Drosophila melanogaster: one gene and its partners. The protein of the gene in region 2 interacts with the protein of the main gene of each other region in a biochemical or structural test. Each region holds a gene or a part of one and is shown on either strand. Other genes may lie near its edges. The genes, in order: EcR, trr and usp.

Region 1 (8,535 bases), on a different chromosome or scaffold from region 2:
TCTGTAACTTTTCGTCTCTTTGTGTTATAAGGCAGTAAAACTGGTTTTAAGCCGTACTCATGCGCCAAAGAGCAAGCGAGACAAGGCGAAAGCTTAGAAAAATCGAAAAGAATCTCGATCAAGCGCGAAATGAAGAACAAGATGAATCGCGAAGAAGCAGTCAGAATAAAAAGGAAAAGAAATGAAAAGAAAAGGGAAGACTAGTCTAAGCTCGCTCGATTGAAGGGGGAGGGCGGAGCACTGAGCCGAGATTTTGGCCCGCATTAAGGAAAAAACCTGTCGCCATCGCTGCCAACGTCGCTGCCGGCAGAATTCGTCGAGCAACAACACAAAAACAATGCAAACAGGTTGTTCTTTGCCGTTTTTGCTTTGTTGTCTACAAAAATATTTCTGAAAACATCGGAAGAAGCAGAGACGGAACGCGTATTTATCGCATTCGGAATATACTACACACATTATATATGTATGTACATACAACATACATATATATTGTATTGTGTATATGAGCGGGATGCGCTGCGATACACATGCGTACGCGACATTTATGGCATTTTTGTTGTGTCGTTGGGTTTTTGTTGATGTTCTCTGTTGCGTTGCCACTTTACTTTTGCCCACTTTACTTTTCTGGGGTTATCCCTGTTTTGTGTTCTGCCTCTGGAGTTCAGGTTGAAGTACAAACGACGTCAAAAAGCCAAACGCGCAGACTCAGATAGCTTTACGCTTCTCCAGCTCGCTGTTCGTATTTTAGTAATACGAACCAAACAGAACGGAAAATTCTGCCAGCAGAAAAATTCGTTACGCCTCGAGTGATGGATTTGAGGAATGGTGAGCCAGAAAACGGAGAGGAAGGTAGGCGCGTACACCTCTATTTATAGAATCGTAAAAGTAAAAAGTTCAGAGTAATGGGAACTTCAGTAGCCAACAGGTTCCACTCACGTTCATGTATTGGTGCCAACAAAGCTCTGATAATATCTGAATTGGATCTGCGGTCAATTAACTCGGAAATAGTTATGCAAATTTTTAGAAGTTGCATCTTAATAAATTAAATAGGTCTCTTTCAGGCAAGATGCTTTGTTGGAGATCTTGAAGGAAATTGTTAGCACCATATGGTGAATTTATTTTAAAACCCGAAATTAAGAACTACTCATTTTCTTGAATCGAAGGCAAGTAATTCTTTCTAAAAATTCCATTGATTCCTAACTCAACCCCTTAACCCCGAAAACTTGACTGACCCCTGATTATTGTTGGGATAACCCGGTGGAACGTTTCCTCTGCAAAAGTATGTCAATGACTGGCACGCGAAGCCCGATGGTTAGGAGTACCCCACACCACACACCCTCTCCTACTCCACGTCCTTTCCTTATCCAAGCTTTATTAACAATTGTTGTACACGCTACTGAAATCAATGGGTGGTGGTCAAATAAGCTTGTGGTAGTGCCGCCTGCTCTGGTAGGGCGAAAACAATTAAACATCCGTTCCCGGCTTGTCCAGTAGGAATACAATAATAGGCCCACCAACACAAATCCACATCAGCACACTCACACAAGCAAATGAGGAACGAATACTTCTGCGAGCGGATCCTTTTAATTTCCTGCTGTTATTTTCCTTTTTTACGTAAAACCAGCGCCGCGTGATTTCCATTTGCTGATTCAGAGGGAAAATATCTTACCCTTCCCCCTTTCGAATCTCTAGTAGAGGGACAAGTTGAAGGAGCAAACATATGCGATACATTCCCACAAACTACTCTCTAGATAGAAAGAGAACCAAAGGGCAAGACTACTATGTCGTACAAGAAAACCAAAAAAGAGGGAAGCGAGTGCATCGACTATCAGATACCTGATATTTAACTAACCAAATTTACCTGCTAGCAATGACGGACTTAACTTAACAATATTAACATTAATTAAACAATAATTTATGTACATTAGCAAATAAATGTAACCTTAAAAGTAAAAATGGTGTTGCAGTGTGCCTGGAGTTTTAATAGTCTACATATAATGGCTACCGAAATTCCGATGTTTACACGTGTGATTAAGAAAATAAAACATTAAAGAGCAACAAAATATTTAATATTATTAATTTCTGGATCATAGCCTTAAGTTGTTGAAGACAACATATCCAAATCAAAATAAAAACCAAGCAATACGATTGAGGTCTTAACAAACAAATCAGAATAACTATCGAGAAAATATACATGGGACTGCAAACTTAACGGTTGTTTCTTTCCATATCTCTGTCTCTTTATCACACTACCAGCCCCAACACAATAATAAATTTAACCAAAAACAGGTTGAGCGTTTCATTCCGCGAACTCATTTGGTGAATTTTTAAAAGTTTGCTGATTTGGTTAAACATGAAAAATGGTGCCATTCAATTGACACATATCCAATATTTGGTTTAAGACAAATCCAAAATAAGCTGGTGGAATTCGCTTCAGTCGGAGTCAGTGCGGTAAGTTTTGAGAATACAACTTGCACCGTAAGATTTCAATGAAGTTTTGTTAGCTCTAACAGATTATGAAATTCTATGGCTTCCGTTAGCAATAATTAGAACATTTTTCGATTTCAATTAGTTGGCTATAACATGGAATCTACATTTTGATTAAAAGCTTCTTTAGCTCTGTATTCCTTCAGCTGCTTTGTTTCCCAAGCAGATCTGCTGACGGAGCTAAATATCCCAGAGTTTCCTTTTAATAATTCACATCTTCTTTTGAATTCTATCGACCAAAGTCTTTGCACAGAAAATCAATTAGCAATAAAAGCTATAGAAACTTTTTAATGCCTTGGCCGAAAAAGATTTATAGCATTTCGCGATAGACCGTTTTCGGCTTATTGAGAGCACTTAACAGCAACAGGGCACGCGTTTCAACTAATAGAACAGGAAATAATTGAATATATAACAAATAATATATGAAACTTTGTATGTCCTTAAGACCCATGCGGCTTAATAGCCTTGAAGCATCAAGAAACTAAAAAATAAATAAGATTAATAAGATAATAGGCGGCAAGAGGAAAAACCCTATAGACGAGTCACAGCTGGCCCAAAGTGTAGTAAAACTGGTTAGTGTTGACTGGCCCGGCTTCAAAAATGTGCTTGAATCATTTCCTTTTCCGGTTAGTTGGTGTCTCTCTTCCATTCTGCGGCGTCTACGATTTGCATTTCTAATCAATAACACTAACGGTCTGACCTTTTCGGCAGCAAAGAAGACACATTAAACCCAATATAAAATGACAGCGCATTGTGTCAAACCAGATTCAATACTCATGGTTGACGCTTAGGAAATAATAAACCTCACTAACTGAACTGGATAAGACATTGTTTTAATGAAAATAATTAATTTGAATTGACCAGACATGTTCGGGAAAGATACTGAAAACAACTAACGAAAAACGTTTTTTTTTTTGTGTAATTTTTTGGCATAAGCCATTAAGTTTATTAGTTATAGGGAAAAAGTCAATGCTAAGAATGACAACGCCACAATCCGCTTGCCCCTAAAAAATCTGAACAAGTTTTTCAAGACTTAAACCTTGCTTTATATTACAACTACGTTCATTTTCGCGTTGCTCGGCTAATCTACAACAACAATAAAATTGTTTTGTCTGGACTGTGGAAAGTCATGGAAACTCTCTGTCATTGGCGATTGTCTGCGAAAGTGTTGGCAGCTCGACTTTGTTGCTGGTCTGTGAAAGTCCACAAGAGCGTCGGGGAGAAGGCACAACTCATTCCAAGCTCGATTGCTTTATGGCAGGCTACTCTTAACCGCACATACACAAATTAGGTCCATCCAGACCGAACGGGAAGGAAAACCAGCTAGAAAAGGCTGACAAGATAAGGCACTCAATGCAATTGATACAAGAGCACATACAATGGCACCTGTTTGCCATTTCTGCCATTCCCGTTCCCCATTTCCATCCAGGGGATGAAGAACGGAGTGGTGTTCTGTCTCGTGACCCACTGGTCTGCACCCATTAGTATCGTCGCCCCCAGACGCGGTTACATTGAACCTTTTTAAAGGGGGGTTGTGTGTGACACTTTGGAAACAGTTGTGATATAAAATAAGGTATTTCGATTATCCAGGGTCATTTTAATTCGTGCGGATTTGGTAGTCATAATTGTTGTTATGTCTGTGGTAGGACTTTCAGAACACTAAGCAGATCTTTTGATCGTTTCCATTTGCTTGTATAATTTCTTCATGTCAAAGTCATTTAGCTAAGAACCCCAAACTATTGTAAAAATGCATAGAGGGTTCGACATAAAAGCACTGGTAACTCGGTTTTCTCAGCCTGGGCGAAGCCACAACACTGAATCCCATGTATAGACATACATGTGTCTATATATTTGCATAAAATCGCATTAAAATTTGCCATTTGGCCACTTTAATGTCCCATAAAACATAAACAACAGCAGCGAAGACGAAGTTGTCGACGCCATAGGATATAAGTTACTTTTTTTGTGCTCTTTGTTTGTGTCCAGAAAGTGTAGCAAAGAAGAAATAGCGAAAAACTTAATGTGCAAAAAGCAGTTGGAAAAGAGAATCTTTAGTCGAGTGCTTCGACTAAAAGATACCCGCTAGCACGTTTAAAACTAAATCTACAATTCTGAATTATGTGCATCCTGTAGAGGAATTTCATTTAAAAACCCAGCTTAGGGCTTTTGAGCTTATTCGAATTTCTAGGAGCTTTAGATTGGACTTGGCCGAGACTAAAAATAAACTTGCACAGCTCAGTCATCGTTAGAACTTAAATGCTGTGTGAGTAAAGGGTATCAAAAAACAGAGCCATGAAGTCGAAAGTTTAACCAGACCCGCCCAGGAAACGAAGGCCAACGGGTGGCGGTAAGTCTGTGTCGTCGGGGGGATGGAACAAATTAATTGTGGGAGAGTCAAACTAATGTTGGGGACTTTACTGGAACCTAAGCGCAAACCTAATGCTGTTACCTAATGCCTCATTAGGCGCTTTAAAATAGGGAAGCCCAAGCGCACAAGAGGACTCGCCTTATAATGTATAATAATATATCGCAGTACCTATTAAACAATATACCAAAAATAAGATAAATAAATACTACACATTTATTGTAGAATTGAACATTTAACAATTGAAGTCATTGGATCCAAAAAGTGAAGTCTCTTCAGACGAACAGCATTTACATGTTCCACAATTTTACCTTCTCCAACACGATTCAAGTGCCCAATCTGTATCGAATCATTTTTGAGCGTTCTTTCGGCACTTAATAAATCGAATACGTTTTACACCGAATTAAACCTTATCAACAGAATATATGTGAAAATCAGAGTAAATCTGTTGGCTGAATTCACTGAATGCCCACTTGAATTTATGGAAATACATGCCAATTACGCAGTCGAGTGCTTTCCTAGACCGACATGCACATATTCGTCTACACCGGGGATCTATGGTGGCCCGAAAGAGGCTTGATTATGTTTACGCAGGCGAAATACACAATTTTCAACGTTCTGTCTTGACCGTCTGTCAGTTGTCATGACCATAATTAATGTATTGCCAATCGAACCCCCATCCCAAGCATGTGTATCTTTTTGGGACATCATAATGTCTGTATGTACAGCATGTATTCAGCTATGCGAACATATGATCTGTGTATCTTGGCATTGAAAAGATCTAATGGTAATGTAGTTTTCATTTCGGCTGGATGAATAAGAAATGGAAATTGATTTTGCGCACGCGAAGTGACAAGTGCGCCAAGACAAACACATTAGGGCCTGAACAAATCGAAAATAGTTTTCGGCTCCGAACAGCGAACTTGTTGCCTAACTCAGATCTTTCGTTAAGCAGTTGACCACAAAATGTTGTTATGGAAAAGCGCTTGGTTCTATTGGATTCCAAGGTGCCCACACTCACCATATGCGTCGATATAGTGCGCCAGTTCTGCTACTAATCCACAAGTATCCATGGGCCCACTGCGTATTTGAACAAAAGGTATTCCAGTTGACAAAGCACTATTTGGAATGTTGAGTAAAATCTTTTCACTACCTTTATATATATGTAAGGGGATCGGGATCCACGGCACAAATCCCTCACTCACTCGCGCACTATCTTCGATATATGTACATATGTAATATTGTGGATGCGGAAAAAGTCTCCGGCTCCTGGCAAAGCGGAGCTAGCGTTCCACAGACCACGACTAGACGGGCGTCTTATGTCTGTGTGTCACGTTGCTGATGTTTGATTTCGAGTTCTGGCTTCGTTGTTTCCTATTTACATTTCGATACCGCTGTATTCCCTCAGCCGCAGTTTGCACTATGCAGCCGCCATATAATATCTGTACAAATATGAATATATGCTCTCGATTTGCGTTATTTTAAGAACTATTTCCTTTTGCTTCTTCACCACTTATGTATGTATTTTTACTATTGTTTGAGTTTCAGCTACAATGCATTTGCACTTTATATTAATTTTTGCCGATGAATTGCACTTGTGTTTGTTGCGGTTGTTGGGGGAACTGGTATTATTTGGGATTTGTCTAACAATTTTTCATAAATATATGTAGGTGTATATGTGATTTAAACATTATTTGGTTACAACATTTTGGGGGTTTTCGGTTTTGAAATGTAAGGTGCTTTGGGAAACCGTACTGTTAGGTTGTCGTTTTCAATTGTGTGTGCTGTATTTTGTATCTTGTTTTTTGACGAACGCGATCGGGCTTCGTACGTGCGAGCGAACAACCGTTAACAACAAAGTCCAAAAAAATACTAAATCAATGAGCGAGACGAGCAGAATGTTAAACGCTCAAACTCACCACACTGGCACGCACACCAAAGTAAACTCACCAGACACGCACACCATGGCGCTAAAAGAGCGAGAGTTAAAAGCGGAATCGGCGCTAAAGATAAATGTGAAACGCAGGCAGCACTCACTCACACAGCCACAGACACACACTCTGAGCAAGCGGCTTGAATGAAAATGCCGATGCAATTGCAATCGTGGAATACTCTTTGTCCGCTCTCCGGCACGTATCTGTGAGTTGTGTGCGAGCGTATATGGCCGTGTATGCGTGAGTATGAGTGCCATCATCGCTTTCATTTCTTGCTGCTTTATTTTCGGTTTTCTACATTTATTTATTGTTTTTTTTTTTCGTTCGTTTTCGTTCATCGCTACTTTCGGGTGCACAAGTGCAAATTCACACGTATGTACGTACATTTGAAATATTCTCGCATAGTGGGACGAAAGGGTCCATAATAAATCGGAAGGAGTGCCACAACTTGCAATAATTAAAAGTAGGATAAGTTGAAATATTTAGCTTAAATTACAGTCTCTCTACTTCACCTTTTCGATACATTCCAAGTTTTATTTTCAATAATCTCTAACATCAATTGCATTTTTCAGTGTCCCTTTAAACTTTATTATTTGAATACATATATGTAGCAAATATCTCAACAAGAAAACAATGAAAACGTTTCATGTGGCCAAAAATACTTTCTCACGTCAGCTGAATGAATAATAAATAAGATCGAGTTAGAAAACCATAGAGAGTCCTCCGAAGGACTGTTTTCCATTCGTTGGAAGGGAAATCCACCTGAAGTCAGTAGACACCGCTGTTTGAAGCAGAATATTGACACTACGAGACGTAATTGACGGAAAGGAAAAAGATCACCAGGAGGGTAAACAGAACGCAGATCAAACTAACAGCCACAACAGTATCTATGAGTATGTACGTATGTATACATACACATACACGTATCACCGCCGTCTGCTGGGCGACGTATAAATTGCACGTTTCGAATACATTGTGGTTAAAAAGTCAGCGCAAAGCGAGCTGAGATACTCAGATACAGATACGCACACATCGCTGCAGATAATTGTTTGCCCATCCCTTCCCCCCACCACCAGCCCCATCATTCGAATCGCTACGTATTTACTTAACGTCGCTGTGTGCGTTGAGTTGACGCTGGGCAAGTTCAAGTGTAGAATGCAATAGAGAATTGCATTTGCCAGAGCGAGAGAGACGACCTCGCTCTCTACGCATACGCATAGAAAAGCCGGCAAAATGCAAGGGCAAGGTGGTGCGGGACTGTGGGGGTGGTCGTACTGACGGTGACAGTGGTTAGCATGTGGTGAGTTTCGCTCTGTTTGGGGTTGGCTAGACACATTGAACCACAAAAGTTCAAGATGAAAACACAAAATATCAACAATGACAGCTGAGTAGTGGGGACGGCAGCGGCTTGGTGTCGGGGGCGTGAAAGAGACTTTGCCTCTCTCTATCTCTTCCTATGTTTCTCTACTTCTATTTGTTTGGGTATACCAATACAAACACAGCTGCAACCCATAACTGCGTCTATGATGATTTTCTTCTCTTTCGTCCTTCCCCACATTCTCCACTCCTCCACACGTCTCGTTCCCCTCTCCTCCACTATCCTTTTCCCTCTTGGCCGACTGCCAAACGACTCTCAGTTCAGTAGTACACTGGAGCAATTGCTTAGAGTATGGGTGCAACATGTATCTGTGCTTTCCTATATGTATCTGTGTAGCTGCATGCGAGCGTGAGAGAGTTTGTCTAGCTTTG
Region 2 (8,384 bases):
TGATGATCCGGCAGAAGCCGCAGAACTCATTGAGGCGGGCGAACCACCTCCAGAAGTCTCGTTGCTCCCGATAAGAAAGTGAAAGTTGCGATTGAGATGCGGCTCCAGAACTTGAAGCGGCTGCATTTGGCGGATGTGCGTCAGCAACTTCTCGGTAAATGCATCGTGATCCTCTTCTACCTTGGAGAACTTGCGAACCCGCTTCTTGAGCATGGGCGAGGAACTGGCTCCAGTACTGGCGCCCACTCCTCCCAAAGTAACTCCTTGTCCGGTACTGGTGATCACATGACCAGTCCCTGATGCCGCGCCTTGTATGTACTGGGTCCCCGGCGGCATTCCTGCCAGTTGGACCATTGCACCTGCCGGTAGTGGACCTGTTAGATCCTTAAGAGCTCCACCCGCTTGTCCGGCGTTCAGATTTGTGCGCCTCGGCTTCTGGACCTCACGTTTGCGGCGCTTCCTTTGGTCGCCTGCCTTGCTCTCCATGGTGGGCACGGGGATGGGCACTGCACCCTGTCCAGTAACTGGAAGGGGAATCGTCGCATTCTGTGGTTGGTTCTGGTGCAGTTGCTGCTGCTGCTGCTGTGGATGAACTGCCATATGGAGCTGATGCTGTACTTGCAAATGCATTTGAGCGGGTATCTGTCCAGCGGCATGTCCGGAGATTTGTCCGGACATCTGCCCAGACAGGTGTCCTTGCATAGTCGCCTGCATTTGCGCCTGCATCTGCACCTGGCCCTGGCTCTGGTTCTGGATGGGTTGTGCCTCGTTCGGGACACCGGATTTCTTTACATAAGTGGCAATCGCTGAGATCAGCTGTACTTTGTCGGGAGTACCTTGTCCAGTCGGAGTTGTTGGTAGGGAGGTGCTTATGGGAATCTCTGCCTGTTGCTGGATCTGCTTTTCGTCCAGTTGTGGGTGCATGGGGAGCTTGCGTTTTTGAGGCTCTCCAGGCTTGAACGGTATCTTTGTGGTGGCTACACCTCCTTCTAAATGGTTATTGGTCCATTGCGCAGACACAAGGGGACCTCCGGAGTGAGGTGCAACTCCCGCTGCAGTAGCTCCCTGTTCCGAATGAAGCGGCGGCTCCGCTTGCTCTGGCAGCGATTCGTCGCCCTGCTCCATGGGTAGTGACATAGCTACCGCCTTGGGCTTCATCTGCAGTTCCTTCGGAGCCGCTTGTTTGGTGGATATGGATATGGTGACGTTCGATATAGGAGCAGTGGCCATTTCGTAAGGCGGAGGAGGTAGTAGTTCAGCCGGCTTCGAAGTGGCTTCCGTCACTAGTGTTTTAGCAGCAACGGGTCCTGAGATGAACGACGTCTCCTTCGACACAATCTGCACAGTCTGCTTGACTTGGTGGGGTGACGGTTGCAGCTGCTGCGGCTGGTGTAGTTGCTGCTGCTGCTGCTGCTGTGGTGGCGGTGGTGGTGGAGGCGCCTGGTTTTGGCTCTGATTCTGCATAATTGCTGCTGGCTGATCGGATTTCTGCTCCAGCTTTGCCTCCCCTCCCACTCCTGGTGTGGTAATTGCGACCGCACTAACAGGTAGAGCCGTCGCTGAGGCGGTGGCTACCTGTTGGCTGCTTCCTCCGCTAGCTACTGTTGTGGTGGTGGTGGACGTGGCCACAGATCCACTGCTACTACTACTACCTGCCGCCTGCGTGGCAGTGGGCACCGGAGGAATCACCGGACGTGCCAGTTGATCCTCCAAACTTCTGACCTTCCCCATGCTGGGCGCCCGTACGTTGATAACCTTGCGGGCGGAAAGAGGTGCCGAAGCTGAGGCGGAACCAACGTGAGCCGAAGTGATGCTTATCTGGTTGAGGCTATGACTGCTGCTGTTGTTTTGGAGCAGTTGCTTTAGAAGTGCATTATCCTCCGCTGCCGAGCGTTGGTTGTTCATAGGTGTGGCGTTCACTGTAGGATTGGGTGTGCTGGGATTCGAGGCAGTTGAGGTAGATGTGGCCATTTGAATTTGATTGGCGGACTGATTTTGAACCTGGTTAATAGCCGTCATTGTGGCATTGGCGTTCAAACGCTTCTCCGGCGTGCCGATCTCCTCAGCCCGCTCCTCACTGGTCGGAGTACCAGTGCTATCCTTCACAACCGCCTCCTGTTTGACCAGTAGCTTTGCTTTAGATTCGCTGCCAACTTCTTCCAGCTTGACTACGTCCGGAGCCAGACTAACGCTGAGTTTGGTGGGCGTATTGGCGGTCGTTAGTTTCAGCTGCATTGAAGCTCCCGAGGTAGCTGATCCGGAGTTTGCAGAAGATCCCGCCTTGTCTGCACTAGAATCCTGAATCAAAGCATGATGCATCTGCAGCGCCGCCTGACTGGACAACGTGGTTGTAGTTATCATCTTCGGTTTTTGCTGGGCCATGGTCGTCTTGGACAGCACCAGGGATATGTTCTTGTTCTGAATGGAGATTATTGGCCGCGTGCCCATCATCGGACTGTTTATGCAGATGGTCCCCGCCGAAACGGAAACGGTGGAGGTGGTGGCCAGATCTGAGGCATTCCCCGAAGCCATGGTAAACGTCACGGGTGTGCCTGCTCCACTGCCTACCGCGGAGATTGATTGGCTTTGAGCAGCCTGTGAGTGCTGCTGCTGCTTAAAGATGTTAAAGCTGGGTGGACAATTGAGTGTATTCTTGTCGAGCGGCTTAATCACCACGCTGTTGATGTTGGTGAACTCCTCCGGGCCTCCAGTCGATTCCTGGGACTTGCTCTTGTTGAGAATTTTTTGAAGGTTCTCCGAGTAGGCTGTAATCTTTCGAGGCGCTGGCGCATCGTCTTCCGAATGGGCCGCAGGTCCCACAGTTGCGGAATCCTGAACCATTGCGTACGTTTGGCTGGGGTTGGTGGTGGTGATAGTCACTATGCTGCCTGTGGGCGGAGCCAGGCCTCCACCACTGGTCACCTGCAGCTGCTGAAGCTGCTGCTGCTGTTGGATCTGTTGTTGGTGCTGCTGAAGTTGCAGCATCTTTTTGCTCACCACCTTGGTGGCCACAATTTTGGTGTTCGCCGGCTTGATCTGTAGCCCCGAAAACGAGACAATGGTGCCGCTATTTTTTGGCCCGCGTTTGATAAGTTTGGTAAAGTTGTGATGTGCATGAGAATGGACGTGCGGGTGGACCTGCTGACCACCGCTTTGCTGCGCAGCACTCATTACGGTAGTCACCTGACCGCCCGGCTGCAGCAGTTGCTTGCTCTCTACAATCGTGGCTCCTCCGGCTGTGGCCGCTCCACTAGCGCTCATCAGCGGCTTGAGCAGCGGCACCGATATAGTCTTGTTGCCAATCGACACTTTCGCCGTGGTCTGCGTTACTTCCGACAGCTTCTTGGCGTTAACCATCAGCTGGGTTTTCATCTTGGGGTGAAGATTCACCCGGTTTAACAATGTTGTAGTGGGCGTTTGGCTACCAGTGGCCGTGGTATTGAAGATGTTGTAGTTCGTGTGACCGGATTTCTGTGTGAGGATTGTAGTGGTGCCGGCTCCACTGACTCCTGCCGTTCCGTTGTTAGCGTTTAAAATAATGGTGGAGGTAGTAGCTCCAATAGGCGTTCCTGCTGGTGTTCCCGTTCCGGTGGAGTTACCCACAGATGTAGAGCTATCCGCGCCGCTGGCTGGCATCAGTACGTAGTCGAGGTCCTCAGATTTGCCGGAGTTTTCAGCATGATCCTGCCCCGAGCCACTGGGCTCGATGGAAATGACGGACGCGGTTGACGATGATGACGAGGCCGACGATGAGGCACCCTCCTTTTTGGTAAAGCTGGTAAAGGCTGTGTTTCGGTGTAGCAAAGGGTTAGATTGACTGTTCCTTGGAGTGCTGATTCTGTACTCACTCTGCTTGTCAGCGTCCTCCGCCTTGATGGCACCCATCTCAGTGCCGGAGCCGAAGTTGCACACTATGATCTGCTGATCGCGGGCGTCCCAGACGCCGTCCGCCGTCTCGACATCCTGCGGCTCCGACGCAGCTTTTACCTGCGCCTTAGCCTGCTGTCCACTCCGCTGGTAGAGGAGCTGCTGCGGCGCGGTGCTCGACGCTTTGGCGGGCAAACTGGGCGCTGCCGTTCCAGTTCCGAGAAGCAGCTCCGTCTTGGCCTTCTTGCGCGTGGGATCCTCCGCCGGAGTGGCGGTGTCGTCGCCGCTGCGCTTCTGCAGGCTGACCGCATTGAAGGCAGCGGCGGCCACGGATGCTACTCTTTCGGGTTTCGCCTTTTCGGCGGCACCAAGCGATGTTGTCACCTTCGGTATATTCATAACAAACACACAAGTGGAAACGCGGAACGCCGGATGCGATGCGCTGCGTTTCGTGGGACGGGAAGGGCGGCGGTCTAGCTAGCTAGGGCTCGCGCGGCCTGCTTTTTTTTTTACCGAGCGAAAACATGCACGATTAGTCAAAAAAATTTTATTTTCGTGTATGCAGAGCAGTGTTACCAGATGGTAAAACGACCATTACCCTGAAACGTTCTTACCCATCCCTGGTTTTCCACTCAGAAACCCACCACTTTTCCCATCCCATTTCAACATATCGCCATGGCGGTTGCAATCGAATAACGTTTGTACAGCAATCATTTTTCGTTAACTTCAGAAGTTTTTAATACATAACATAATTATTGTGTTCCACGTGCAATATGGCACATTTTCAACTGCAAGAATAAACCATAGTCTGGACAGGGCCGTCAGCTCACTCGACCAATCGGTGGTCTATCGATATATGTTTTTAGCACCACATTTATTAGCTCGATCTGGCAACGGTGGCCGTTGATGCAACACATCTTTGCACAATACAATTTTATAAATAAGTAATATATTTTGACATAAACTCACCATGCTCTCATTAAAGTTAGTCTCCCAGCTCTTTAAGCAAAGCCTTGCGTGTAAGTTGCAGTGGCGCTTCCTGCCTAGCCACATCCAATCCGATAACAGTTTGCAACAAACCACTTAAACTTTTCTTTGCAGCGGGCAACATGGCAATTGTCAACACAGCCGGTCTTAAGTATTTCGCTCCGCCTATTAAATACCAGAGTAAGTAGTTGCATTTAAATGTGCACAATGAATTTAGAGCAATAAATGAATGAATGTGGGAACCCCCAGATGTGGAGCAGCCGGAGAGACCCAAGCTGAGGGTCATTGAGCGCCAGCCCCAGCTGCCGCCAAACATCCGTCCGCCAAAGATGCAGAAGCGCCTGCGATACATGCGCGGTCCGGAGATGGTGCACAACACGCTGCTCCATAAGCAGTACGCAATCGTGGCCACTGGCGGAGGGCGCCTGCGCTGGGGCCACTACGAAATGATGCGTTTGACCATCGGACGCAAGATGAACGTCAACACTATGTTCGCCACATGGCGCGTTCCCGCACCCTGGCAGCCGATCACTAAGAAGGGCCAGGGCCAACGGATGGGCGGCGGAAAGGGAGCCATCGACCACTACGTGACCCCCATCAAGGCCGGTCGCGTCATTGTCGAGATAGCCGGCAAGTGCGAGTTCGTTGAGGTCAAGCAGTTCCTGCAGCAGGTGGCCAACCAGCTGCCCTTCCAGGCCACCGTCGTTTCCCAGGAGATGCTCGACGAACAGCGCGTCGCCGAGGAGGAACAGACCCGCCAGAATGAGAACCCCTTTACCATGAAGTACGTGATCCAGAACAACCTCAGCGGCTGCCACCGTTGGCTCTCGCCCGTGGACCACAAGTGGTTCGGCAAGCACCTGTAGATGTATAGCTTCAATTAATAAAGCCATCCTTCGTTAATCTGTTACGAAACTGTTTCAAGTACTTTTGAAAACTGGAAATATCTTAAAGTAGGTTCGAACTTCGAACTTAGGGCTCGTTGTTCCAAGCCGTGACTCTGCGGCACCCAATTGTGGAGCAAATAAGAAAAACGCCATATGAAGGGAAATGTACGAGTTCTATTGCAAACATTTGTTTAATTTTCCATTTCGTTTACGTGGGTAATATGTAATGCATCATATAATATGTTTTTCTTGCCGTTTCGTTCGCATTATAATAAATGTATAATATTATGCATGTATGCGTGTGTGTATGCTTTGTCGCGGGGTATGGTGTGTGAGCAAATAGCCTTCTCCCACGGACTTCAGTTCTGGAAGCAGAACTTTGACCTGCCGCAGCTCCTCGTATTTGTCAAGTAAAATCCACACCTTCGTTGATCTAGTCAAGTTTCGGTGATCGCGATTCCGGGATCCGGGATGGAATCAAAGCCGGTGGAAGAGGGCTATTGTGCAGGGATGGGAATTCGTGTGTTTTATGTTATGGGGTCGAATGGATACTCGACCCTTACCCTTAGCTCGGCTTGTCTAACAATCGGTATCGTACCAGGCAGCCAGGTTGTTGTTGTCATTGGGTGGCGTCGGCATGGCGTCCAAGTCAAAGTTCAATGCACCGGCATCAATCTCGCCAACGTCCATGTCCATGGAATAGGGCGAAGTTGGTGCGCCGCTAGGCGGAATGGCGCCGATGTTACCACCGCCGCCGCTAGCTCCGCCTACAGCTCCACCATTGCCGGGAGCACCGCCAGCACCGCCGCCGCCCACTGGGCTGCTGATCTCCAGACCCTGCATCGAATCTATTGGTAGAGTATCATATCCTGTGAACAAACGAGATGGGCAAAGAATGATAGGGAATATTGTGATTAGTGGAGAGGATTTACAATCTCCGCCAGCCGTCAACTGGCAGATGGTGCGACACCTTGAAGTCCTGCAAAAGTGGATTCACTGCTGCTCGCTTTAATCGGGAACTCATCTAAAATGCATCTTTCCAACACACTTATTGGATTTATGCCGATTCAAACGAAATGCAGACTCCACTCGTACACGACGACCCTTTAACATTAACCTAGAGTATCAAACAACAAAAATCTGTCGTTGAATACTGCTTAAAAAGAACTAAATACGTCTAAAATACGACACGACATGGACGCGTTATTGTCGATTGGAATTCGTCCTCTGAAACTTGCATGCACACACGGCTTACAAACTAGATACGAGTATATACACCATAAAATATATGGATTGTGGGTGGCTAAAACTATGCGATTATCGCAGGCTACGTGACATGCAGTATGAACCGAAATAAAGTTTATTACTGCTCCTTCATGGAGGGAGACCTTAAAGATAAAAGCCGTCTAATGAAAGGAAACAAAATAGATTTATACAAAACAATAAATTTGCGAAATTATCAAAGAAACGTATGTGTTTCTTTACTATTCACGATCCTTATTTTTTAAGGTTGCACTCTGTGGTTATTTGTGGTAGATCGGTGTTCGTGTGTGTGTGTAGTGCAAAAATCTTCAAGCTACGTGTAAAGTCCGGAGAGATAGATATTCTTTTCCAAATGTGAGAGAGCAGGGGAAGTAATCCCGCAAAAGACTGAAGTTTATCCCTATTATCCCTTATTGACATAATTGGCGCCCAATGTCGGGCATCGGATGCACAAGATTTGGATTTATCGACAAATGTTTGTATACCGCAAATGGAAACAGGCGGAGTTATATTCACTTCCTTCGCATGCAGCCGTGGAACTCAAGGGTTTAACGATATTAGGGGGTAACGAGCAAGGAGACAGAGATATTGAGATCAAGCGAGGGAACTGGGTGGAAGAGGGTTTCGCTCACACTGAAGAAACTAAAGTGAGCTTAACGTCTTAGTTTCGATTAACAAGTGCATATTTGAATGATGAACAGACATGATAACGATTAAATGGATGCGGGGGTTTGGGGCTGGTCCCGAGGATTTTTCGAATTGTCTGAACCTGTTAACGTTTCCGTTGGTTTACTTTTTAGTGGGGTTATGCAGGATTCTTCTTCTTGGGGTGTGGCTCGAGGGGTACGATGGGTACGAGGGTCTCTTCTTACGCATATGACATACATACCTTGCTGATGGAATGCGCGACCTCCGTGTGAACTGTGCACGCTGGGCGGACCTTGTCCGTACAGGCCCTCATATGCTTCTTCTGGTCCAAGCATATCCTGTGATCGATCGAATTCGTGTTTGTTTATCGGTTTATCGGTCGGTTTGCGTGATATGTGCGTGATCGTACGTGTGTGGTTGTGTGGTGGATGTATTTTTTACAGTTTCGTTTTCATTTATTTTTTGTTGGGATGGATCAGAAGTGAAAAGTTGTTAGGAAAGAAGAAGACACGCGCAAACGCCAGTTTGCAAGTGAATGTGAGCGAGAGGAATAGAGAGTGGGGTGAGGTTGTTGTGGTATCGGGGCGGCGAGAGCGAGACAGAGAGTGAGAGTCGCATTGTTGGATTGTTGTTGTTGGTGAGATTTTGGTGCAGTGATTATCCGTCATTTCGGTTGTTGTTGCGTTTCATTTACCGTTGCAGTTGTGTTTATAGTGATTTGTTGTTTTGTTT
Region 3 (8,198 bases), 150 kb from region 2:
TGTTTTCCGCGCTCGTTCCGTTTCGTATCGTATCGTATCGGTTAAAAATAGTATGTTTTGAAAAAGTTTTATTTTCGGCGTCAACGTCAACGCAGCGAAGGGAAGTGGGCGGGCCGGGGGCGGAGAAGGACGGTACGGGATTGGTACATATTTGAAATAATTTTGAGAAATAGCGCGAATTCGGATCGGAAATCGGAACTGATCCGGTAAATATAGATCGATATACTCTCGGTTCGTTCCTTTTATTGTGTCTAGTTTTTTATTGGTAGCACTTTGACTCTCCACATAGATCATATATACGCACATATTGTTCGGATATATATATATAAAGATATATGTGGTTTGGCATATATAACCATCGCACGCACACACACACACACCTCACACACATGCACAGTTTTCGTTACTTATATTTTGCTTTGCTCGTTTTTTTTAATATTTCGTTTTTATATTTATTTTTCAAACAAGTACAAAAAAATAACCCAAAAAAAAAAGAAAATAGAGTATAACGAAAGCAAGTGAGTCGGTTAGCCAGATATATATATATGTACACATATATATATCTATATCTACTCGTGTGTGTGTAGTCGAACCAAACAAAAACAAAAACAACAAAACAATCTGTGTGGACAGCAATTGGAGCAATATCTACGTGTGTCGCTTGCGAAGAGAAAGACCCGCTCGCGTTGATAGCCAACTCAAAACTGATGTCGCGCCAGCCAGCTGCTAACTCTGAATACCGTCGCAGTCGTCGTCGCAGTCGCAGTCACCGCCGCTGCCGTCGGCGCACCAACACACACCACACCAACCCCCCCATCCGACCCACCTGCCCCACATCGCCCACCGCACCACAGCAGCCGTCGCAGAGGAAGAAGAAAAGTCTGCCGTGCAGCGGGAGCATCGGATCGAATCGGATCAGTTTGGATCGCTTGCCATAGCCGAAGACCCCAACATCCGAGCATCCGAGCATCCAAGCATCCAAGCATCCGAGCATCCAAGCATCCGAACATGCGAACATCCGAGTCACGAAGAGTGGAGCGGCAAGAGTGCCGGAGTGGGAGTGGGTGGCAGAAGAAAGTATGAATTCGGCCAGCATAAGCGTACGATTCGTGGGACCCTTTAGTTGAACGATGAAGTGCGGGCATGCTGCTTTCGTGGACTTTCACTCGTCTCGTTTAGAAATCAACACAATTCCGATACATTCTGATTATGATGAATATACGTATATGTACGAATGTCCTGAACATGAGTTTGTTGAACGATCAGGTAATTAGGACCTGGGTATGAGCCAAATAGTCTGGCCATTGGACTGTCTTCTAAAAGCAATGGGTATCGCCAGTTCCGAACTCCTTCTTTCTGCTTTTTGCTCATTTGCAGCTGCGGTGCTGCCTGCTCCCCTTGCTTTTGCTGCGGCTGTGACGAAGAGAGCTCTCGGACGGACGCCCATTAGTGAAATTGGTAGGAAAATGCAGTTGCAGGCGACACGAAGTAACGCAAAGAAAGTAAGAGAGCTCAAAAGGGGCACCCTGTATGGCGTATGCTGTGCGCGATATGCGAAGACGACAACAACTTGTTGGCCCCTACGTCAGCGCGTCTGACGCCCCACCTCCTTGGTTTTCTCCTCGTCTGTCAGCGAGTCTCCGCGGTTCAGACAGCATCCACCCATAGTCCCCTCGTGGGTCTTTGGCAAACGCCCCCGCATAACTACGAAAATAGCAAATTGTTAATTTCGCTTCGAAAACTCTTTTCCAATACACACACGAAATCGCAAATCGTCGAAGGAAATGGTGGTGGGTATTTGGAGGAGGAGGGGAGGGGACACATGATTTTATTGGCATGCTTTCATGGTTTTTCCGTGCGAAACATTTCATTTTTCATTCCACATTTTTTAACACGCTGCTACATAGGACTATTTGTGTGGGCTTCTTCTTGTCGGTGGAGAGAGATGAAATTTATGAAATTTATTAAATATGCTCGCCACACACAAAATCAAGGATAGCTATTAGCTAAACCAATAAAAACCACCCACAATAAGTGTGGACACACTGCCGTCTCTCTCTAACATTCTACCCCTCTCTTTCACTCTGTGTGGGAGCTTTCAAAAGCTCTAGATCATTTGTGTGAATGGAGAATCTGAGAATACGTTCATGTTAAATAGCCAGGATCTCCGACGGCTAAGTATTGTATCCGTCGACTTGTCCCAATTTACAGATATTCCTTTGGGGCGAGATATACAGATAAGATACAACGATATAGAAAGAGATAGAGCCTCAATTTGGCTATTTATAGAACATAATGTGCGTCGTCAGCGGCGAGTTTTGTTCTTTTTTCAAAAACAATATCTATTCTTAGTCGCTGCTTGTGCGTTAATACCATATTTTTGTAAATACATACTAACATACATTCCCGCTGAGACATAAATTTTATAAAAATTGACCAAATGCCATCTGAGAGGCCGCAACATCAAGGTGAGGAGTGGGGACCATCAGGCGATGGTCCACAAACCAAAAATCAATGCCTAGGGGACGCGAACAAGGCGTACAGTGCGGTTCGAAAGCGAAAAGCGATCCTTTCATAATCACAATAGAAGGGATTTCTAGTTGGTTAACATTTTACACATTATAAGTACAAGATCGTGAAATCGTTGGGATCATCTTTTGAATGAAATGAATTAAATTTAGACTGGCTATTTTCGAAGAGTTTCCGCAGTGAACTTTATTTATTACCTCCACCTAATTATATCACAGATATATTAAAAAAAAAAAGAAAGCCACCCAAGGGGCCGGCAGAATAACTAATTTAACTAGTAATACAAAACTTGTTAGGCGGAACAGAACATAGTATGATTTATAATAATAAAACTGAAATATTGAAACATCCGCGCAAATAGGCATGGATGTATATACATTTCCGCCTTCGAGAAAGTCACTCGATTTCTTCTTACAGTCCTGAAACGCACCGCTTATATACGCAAATAAAGCCATATATTTGTGTGGACAATGGGATTAATCGCAGATCCGCAGATAAAACGACCATATATCTTGTTATGCAGTTTATATTTTTTATACATAGATATATTTTGTTGGTTTTCGTCGGTGATTTTTGTATCTCGCATCTAATTGATAACGTTTTGGGTAAATTTATGTTAAAAAGTAATTACAATTGATTTAGAACGGGGCCAGCACCGCAGATATGCGCCTGCTGACATATATATTTATGCTGAATTTGTATGTTTACATACGTCTGTAGATCATAACTATGCATTAATTTTAACCGTTATTTTAATATCTTTACTCGTTTAGCTTTAGTTTAACTTTTACTTTTACTTTGCTTGTGTGCATTTTCTCGTTCGTGTTTTGTGTTCTTTTCAAGTTTTGGATTTTGTTTGTTTTTCGTTTACTGGGACATAAACGTCGAGGAGGCTAATCTTCATCTTAAGGAAAACATTTTCTATATCAATAATAATAATAATATTAGGTAATAAAAAAAAAATAAACAATTACATACACATTTTGCGTAATATTAGGGGGCTTTTGTAGGGTATAAGGGATAGAGAGGAGAAATGCAAACAAACGCAATCACAATGAAACATTTTTCGGATGGAGAACGGGGGAGACTTTAGAGTCGGGACCCTACTCCAGTTTCATCGCCAGGCCGGGTGGCGGCGGCGCCTCCAGCTGCTCGAGAAAGAGCTCCTCCAGCGGCCGGTCGCTGGTAATGCGGAAGAGGAACAGGTGATCCTGGCACTTCAGGCTGATCGATCGCAAAGCGGGCAGACGCAGCAGCAGTTGCGCAAAGCGTCCATCGTCGCCCGGATGTTCCAGGCGGCAGTGCTCGTCCAGGCAAGCGTACACCTTCTCGCGGCACATCTCGATCTCCGCCCGGCTCTTGATCCCGCGTATGTCCGGGTTGTACAGTATGATGGCCTTCAAGCAGGACAGCTCGCGTCGGTCGAGATTCAGCCGCTTCATCTTTACACTCAGCTCCGACAATATGCGGTCGAAGATGGCTGACACACCGGCTTTGATCGCACTGTTGCGATGGTACGAGAAGCTCTGGTTGAGGAACAGCTGCTGGGGCTGAAGGCCCGGTGATCGTCGCTCAAAGGAGCCATCGTGGCCTAGTCCACCGCCCCCGCCGCCGGCACCGCCGTCATCCAGCGAAACGATGCTGCACCAGGCCACGTTCGCAATGAGCAGCTCGATCCAAGCGGCTTTCAGCAGAATCACCTGGTCGTCCAGCGGCACCTGGGCAAAGTGCGGCATCATGCGCGCGTATTCGACCATCTGGAAGAGCTGTTTGTTGACCACTTGGCACAGGGCCGACACGGCACCCTTGTAGTCCGGCTGGACTGTGGAATAGGGACCAACGCGCAGGAACGTCAGTGCACGATCGCCGCATTGGGTCTCCGCTCGCTGCTCGGCCTCTATGATGCGCTCGATCGAGAAATCCCTGGACACGCTATTGGTCATGAAGTCATCAGAACCGTTGCCGCTGCCCATTCCGCCAGAAACGCCGCCTCCTCCTCCTCCGCCTTGAGAGCTGGATCCGCCTACCGAACCTGGACCGCTACTGCCGCCTCCGCTGGCGCTGAGCCTACCCGCCGCATTGCGGGCGCCGCGTTGACGCTCCTCCTGGACCGCTTCGCGCTTCATGCCGCAGGTTAGGCACTTCTGGTAGCGGCAGTACTGGCAGCGGTTCCTCTGCCGCTTGTCTATGATGCAGTTGCGGTTCTCCCTGCAAGCGTATGTGAGATCCTTGCGCACTGTGCGTTTAAAGAAGCCCTTGCAGCCCTCACAGCTGTACACGCCGTAGTGCTTGCCACTGGCCCGATCCCCGCAAATAGAGCAGAGGTGCTTGCTGCCGCTCAGCGGATGGTTAGGCGGATACTGCTGCTGGACTGCAGCGGCGGCAGAGCCTCCAGCCGAATTGGGCGCCTGCGCCATTTGGGCATCTCCAGCGCTGTTGTTGTTGGAGCTGGCGGAGTTGGAGCCGGGCAGCACGTGGACCATGGACATGGCCTGCATGAAGGGCACGGGACTCTCGGCCTTGGGCGAAAAGCTGCTGTTGTTGCTGTCGTTCAGCTGCGAGATGTCCGGCTTGACCTCCTCCTTGATGTGGCTCAGCCGAAAGCTGGCGTCCTGGTCGCAGTTGTCCATCCTGGGCTTGTGATGTGGTGCTGGGTATATTGGAGGAACTGGGGGCAGCGCCTCCTCCGCCTACCGGTTTCTTCTTGCTCGTTCTCTTCGTGTGTATGTGGTGTGTCTTGGCTCGCTTTCGCCTCTCTGTTGGGGTTTCACTTTGCCAACGCCACCGTGTCCGTCCGTCCGCTATTGGTCCGTTGGGCCAAGTGGAGCAGGTTGCAGTTTCGTTGTTGGTGGGGTCGTTGCTGCATTTACATAATCTTGAGCCGATGGAGCAGCGCACTTTATTCGCTCGCCTCCAAACAATTGCGCTTTTTACCAACAAACAAAGAATGCCAGACTTTCTGACTAATGAATAAATACCTTTTTTCGCGTCGACATTTTTTCTCAACAAAGACAATCTCACCACAGCGACGCAACTCACCAACGTAGGGATGGACTGTGACACAGGTTGCGTCGTCACGAGTCACAGTCACGACTGTTAAACACTGTATAAAATTAACAACGGCGATGGTATTACCTTAAGTCATATGGTATATAACGCATCTATAAAATTACATACTCCTCTTTTTAATTAATGCACGACATAAGTACATATATCGGTCTCCCAATTGAAGCACGGATTCGTGACTGGGCGCAATCGCATCTCTAATTCACCACAAAGTGGACAGGGCTGTTTTCCCACTCACAGAAACAGTTTTAAGTGGGCGTTAATGACCCAATTAAAGCGCTAATGCCCATCGCACCTGCCGCAAAAATAAGTGTTTTTACTTTGATAACCAATGCGCAATCAATCAATTAATTAATTTAGTCGAAAACCAGAAAACGGGAGTAGCGACAGCCCTGGCGGCGCCATTGCAAAACTCACCGCACCTACGGCGCATGCAACCCTGAGTCAGTCTGGCTCCCCTCCTCACCGCCTTGCAAACCACACAGTGCACAAATAATTTAGCGCCGCTGCAATTATGCAGAATAGAAATGCAAAATGGAGACGTGAATGTGCGCCAATTTCACCGCTGCCGGCGGCAACCTCGGCCTCAAATCGCAAACGCCGTCGCCGAGAATCGAGCGGTTAGGCTGCTGAACCGTGAATCCCAAGACCAAACGGAACCAGAATTGGGCGAAATGCAAATGGAAGTGCAACTTACTTGCAGCCAGTGGCTTTTGATGCGCCGCAAGGTGACGGTTGTTTATTTACTTTTTTCCTTGGCTATCAGTTATCAGTGCTCGCGAGCACACACACACACAGGCACGTCACTGACACGACAACACCACACGACGCTGATTTAATTTGTTGCAATCTCTATTGTAATTGTAGTAATTGAGTCCATCCCATCATCACAAAGAGACGCGACGCGGTAATTGGCATTCGCAAGAAGAAGCATTTCGCGAAACAACAGCTGACAGCGTGGTGAGAAAGCGATTGCGGGGGGCGAAGAACTGGTTTGTCTGTGGTGAGTATACTGTCGCGGTGAGTTGCCTTGGTTCGGTAAAAAACAATGGCACATTATAGGCTGTTTCCACTTCGCTTAATGGTCAGAAAATCTGAAAATTAATCCGTCATGGATATTTATGTATTTTATATATTTATGCGATAGTTAGACCGCAGTAAATTTCTAAAAAATGAATTTCCGCGATGACCAAGAAGCAGGGATTCAGTAATTCAAGAGCACCCTAACATCTGCCTTAAAATTCGATACCGGTTTAGAACAAAAATGGGAGATTCAAAATTTATATAGAAAAAAATTTGCTTAACACTATCAAATTAAGAAGCTTATTTTAAAACAGTTTAAGGGAATGGAAATAGAGTTTTCACATCAAAATTGACATTCAGGACATATATTCTTAATATTTATTTGATTATTGGTATACAAAAAATACACTAATATGTGATATTTTCTATCAGTTTAATTTTCTGATATCGCAATTTGGGGCCTCAGCCCTAAACAATTTATTTCTATTTGGGTCTATTATCTTGTCAAACCCTTTAGTTGCTAACCCTGTACCTACCGCTTCCTTTATAATGAAATGTATCGAGTTCTTTTGTTTAGCTCAGCCTTATTACGTTTTGCCTGTCGGTTTCGCAAATATTCGGTTTTGATTGGTTTTCAGGCGAATAGTACGATAAGCAAATGCGACTCGTTTGTTTGTTTACGGCTTTTAATCAACATCCGAATCCGAACATTCATGTAGTTTGCTGAGTTCAGCATTGAGGACAGTAAGGGCTCCGATCCGCTGGTTAAGATATTCGATCTCTTCTCGGTACACGCCCGTCTCGTAAAGTAGATTCTCGTACTCCCTCATAATTCCAATATAATCGTCACTGCTGCTGTTGTCGTTACTGTTGTTGTTGTTGCTGCTGCAGCTGCTGCTGCTGCTGCTGTGACCTTGGCTCCGATTATGGCCGCCCCAACTGCCACCCTGAGCCGATGCACTTTCCGGAAACTCCTCAAAGTCCAGATAAAGCTGAAAGTAGGCGGCATCCTGGCTGCGGCAGATAGGGCAAGTCCTTGATCTGCAAAGCAGACGGAATCCGCGTATAAGACAAAACGTTTGAGCTCGGCGATAAGATTTGGGGCACTGCCACTGATTTAAATCACTTTTGTATCATTTTCATTTCTGATTGGTGCATAAATTAGAATATTATATCAGTGGCACATTTCATTTTCGTTATAGCTCTCAAGTCCTTAGGATCACTTTTACTTACTGCTTTCTCCAGTGGTCTAGGCAGTCCTCGTGGAACGCGTGTCCGCAGCTGCCGGCTTGTATATTGTCCGAGGTGCGAAACCGCTCCGAGCAGATCGTGCAGATGACGTTGTTACGGCCCATTCCGCTCCGGTTGACTTATACCTAGGTCGATTCGATTCGCTCCGATCCAATCAGGTTCGATCTCCCTGTGCCGTATTGTTGCTCGGCCGGTGACAGGGGACTGAATGAATGCAAGTCGCTGAATCGAGCGTTTTGCTGATAAGCGTCCAGGCAGCCACAGTACACTCCACTCGGTCCTCCTCTTGTCGTCACTCGTCGGCCCTCTCGAGCACTCCCCTGCACTGC

Evidence for each region.
Region 1: the proteins of trr (region 2) and EcR form a complex in vitro, tested with the Drosophila melanogaster proteins (one study listed by BioGRID).
Region 3: the proteins of trr (region 2) and usp form a complex in vitro, tested with the Drosophila melanogaster proteins (one study listed by BioGRID).

The regions. Positions count from the first base shown.
Region 1 is NT_033778.4:6,125,193-6,133,727, forward strand, and holds the start of EcR (ecdysone receptor), read right to left. Parts: upstream 6,650-8,535; 5' UTR 5,926-6,649; coding exon of another isoform or gene 5,874-5,925; intron 1-5,873. UniProt on the Drosophila melanogaster protein: Receptor for ecdysone. Binds to ecdysone response elements (ECRES) following ecdysone-binding, and recruitment of a complex containing the histone methyltransferase trr, leads to activate transcription of target genes.
Region 2 is NC_004354.4:1,885,510-1,893,893, forward strand, and holds the start of trr (trithorax-related), read right to left. Parts: upstream 4,442-8,384; 5' UTR 4,267-4,441; coding exon 1-4,266. Other genes in the region: mRpL16 (mitochondrial ribosomal protein L16), read left to right, coding at 4,838-4,886, 4,969-5,034, 5,104-5,720; arm (armadillo), read right to left, coding at 6,321-6,610, 7,894-7,990. UniProt on the Drosophila melanogaster protein: Histone methyltransferase that acts as a coactivator for the ecdysone receptor during development. Specifically trimethylates 'Lys-4' of histone H3, a specific tag for epigenetic transcriptional activation.
Region 3 is NC_004354.4:2,035,755-2,043,952, forward strand, and holds usp (ultraspiracle), read right to left. Parts: upstream 6,558-8,198; 5' UTR 6,293-6,557; exon of another isoform or gene 6,114-6,292; intron 5,891-6,113; 5' UTR 5,707-5,890; intron 5,633-5,706; 5' UTR 5,160-5,632; coding exon 3,633-5,159; 3' UTR 3,044-3,632; downstream 1-3,043. Other genes in the region: CG4325 (uncharacterized protein), read right to left, coding at 7,305-7,659, 7,852-7,973. UniProt on the Drosophila melanogaster protein: Receptor for ecdysone. May be an important modulator of insect metamorphosis. Plays an important part in embryonic and post-embryonic development. Binds to ecdysone response elements (ECRES) such as in the promoter region of s15 chorion gene.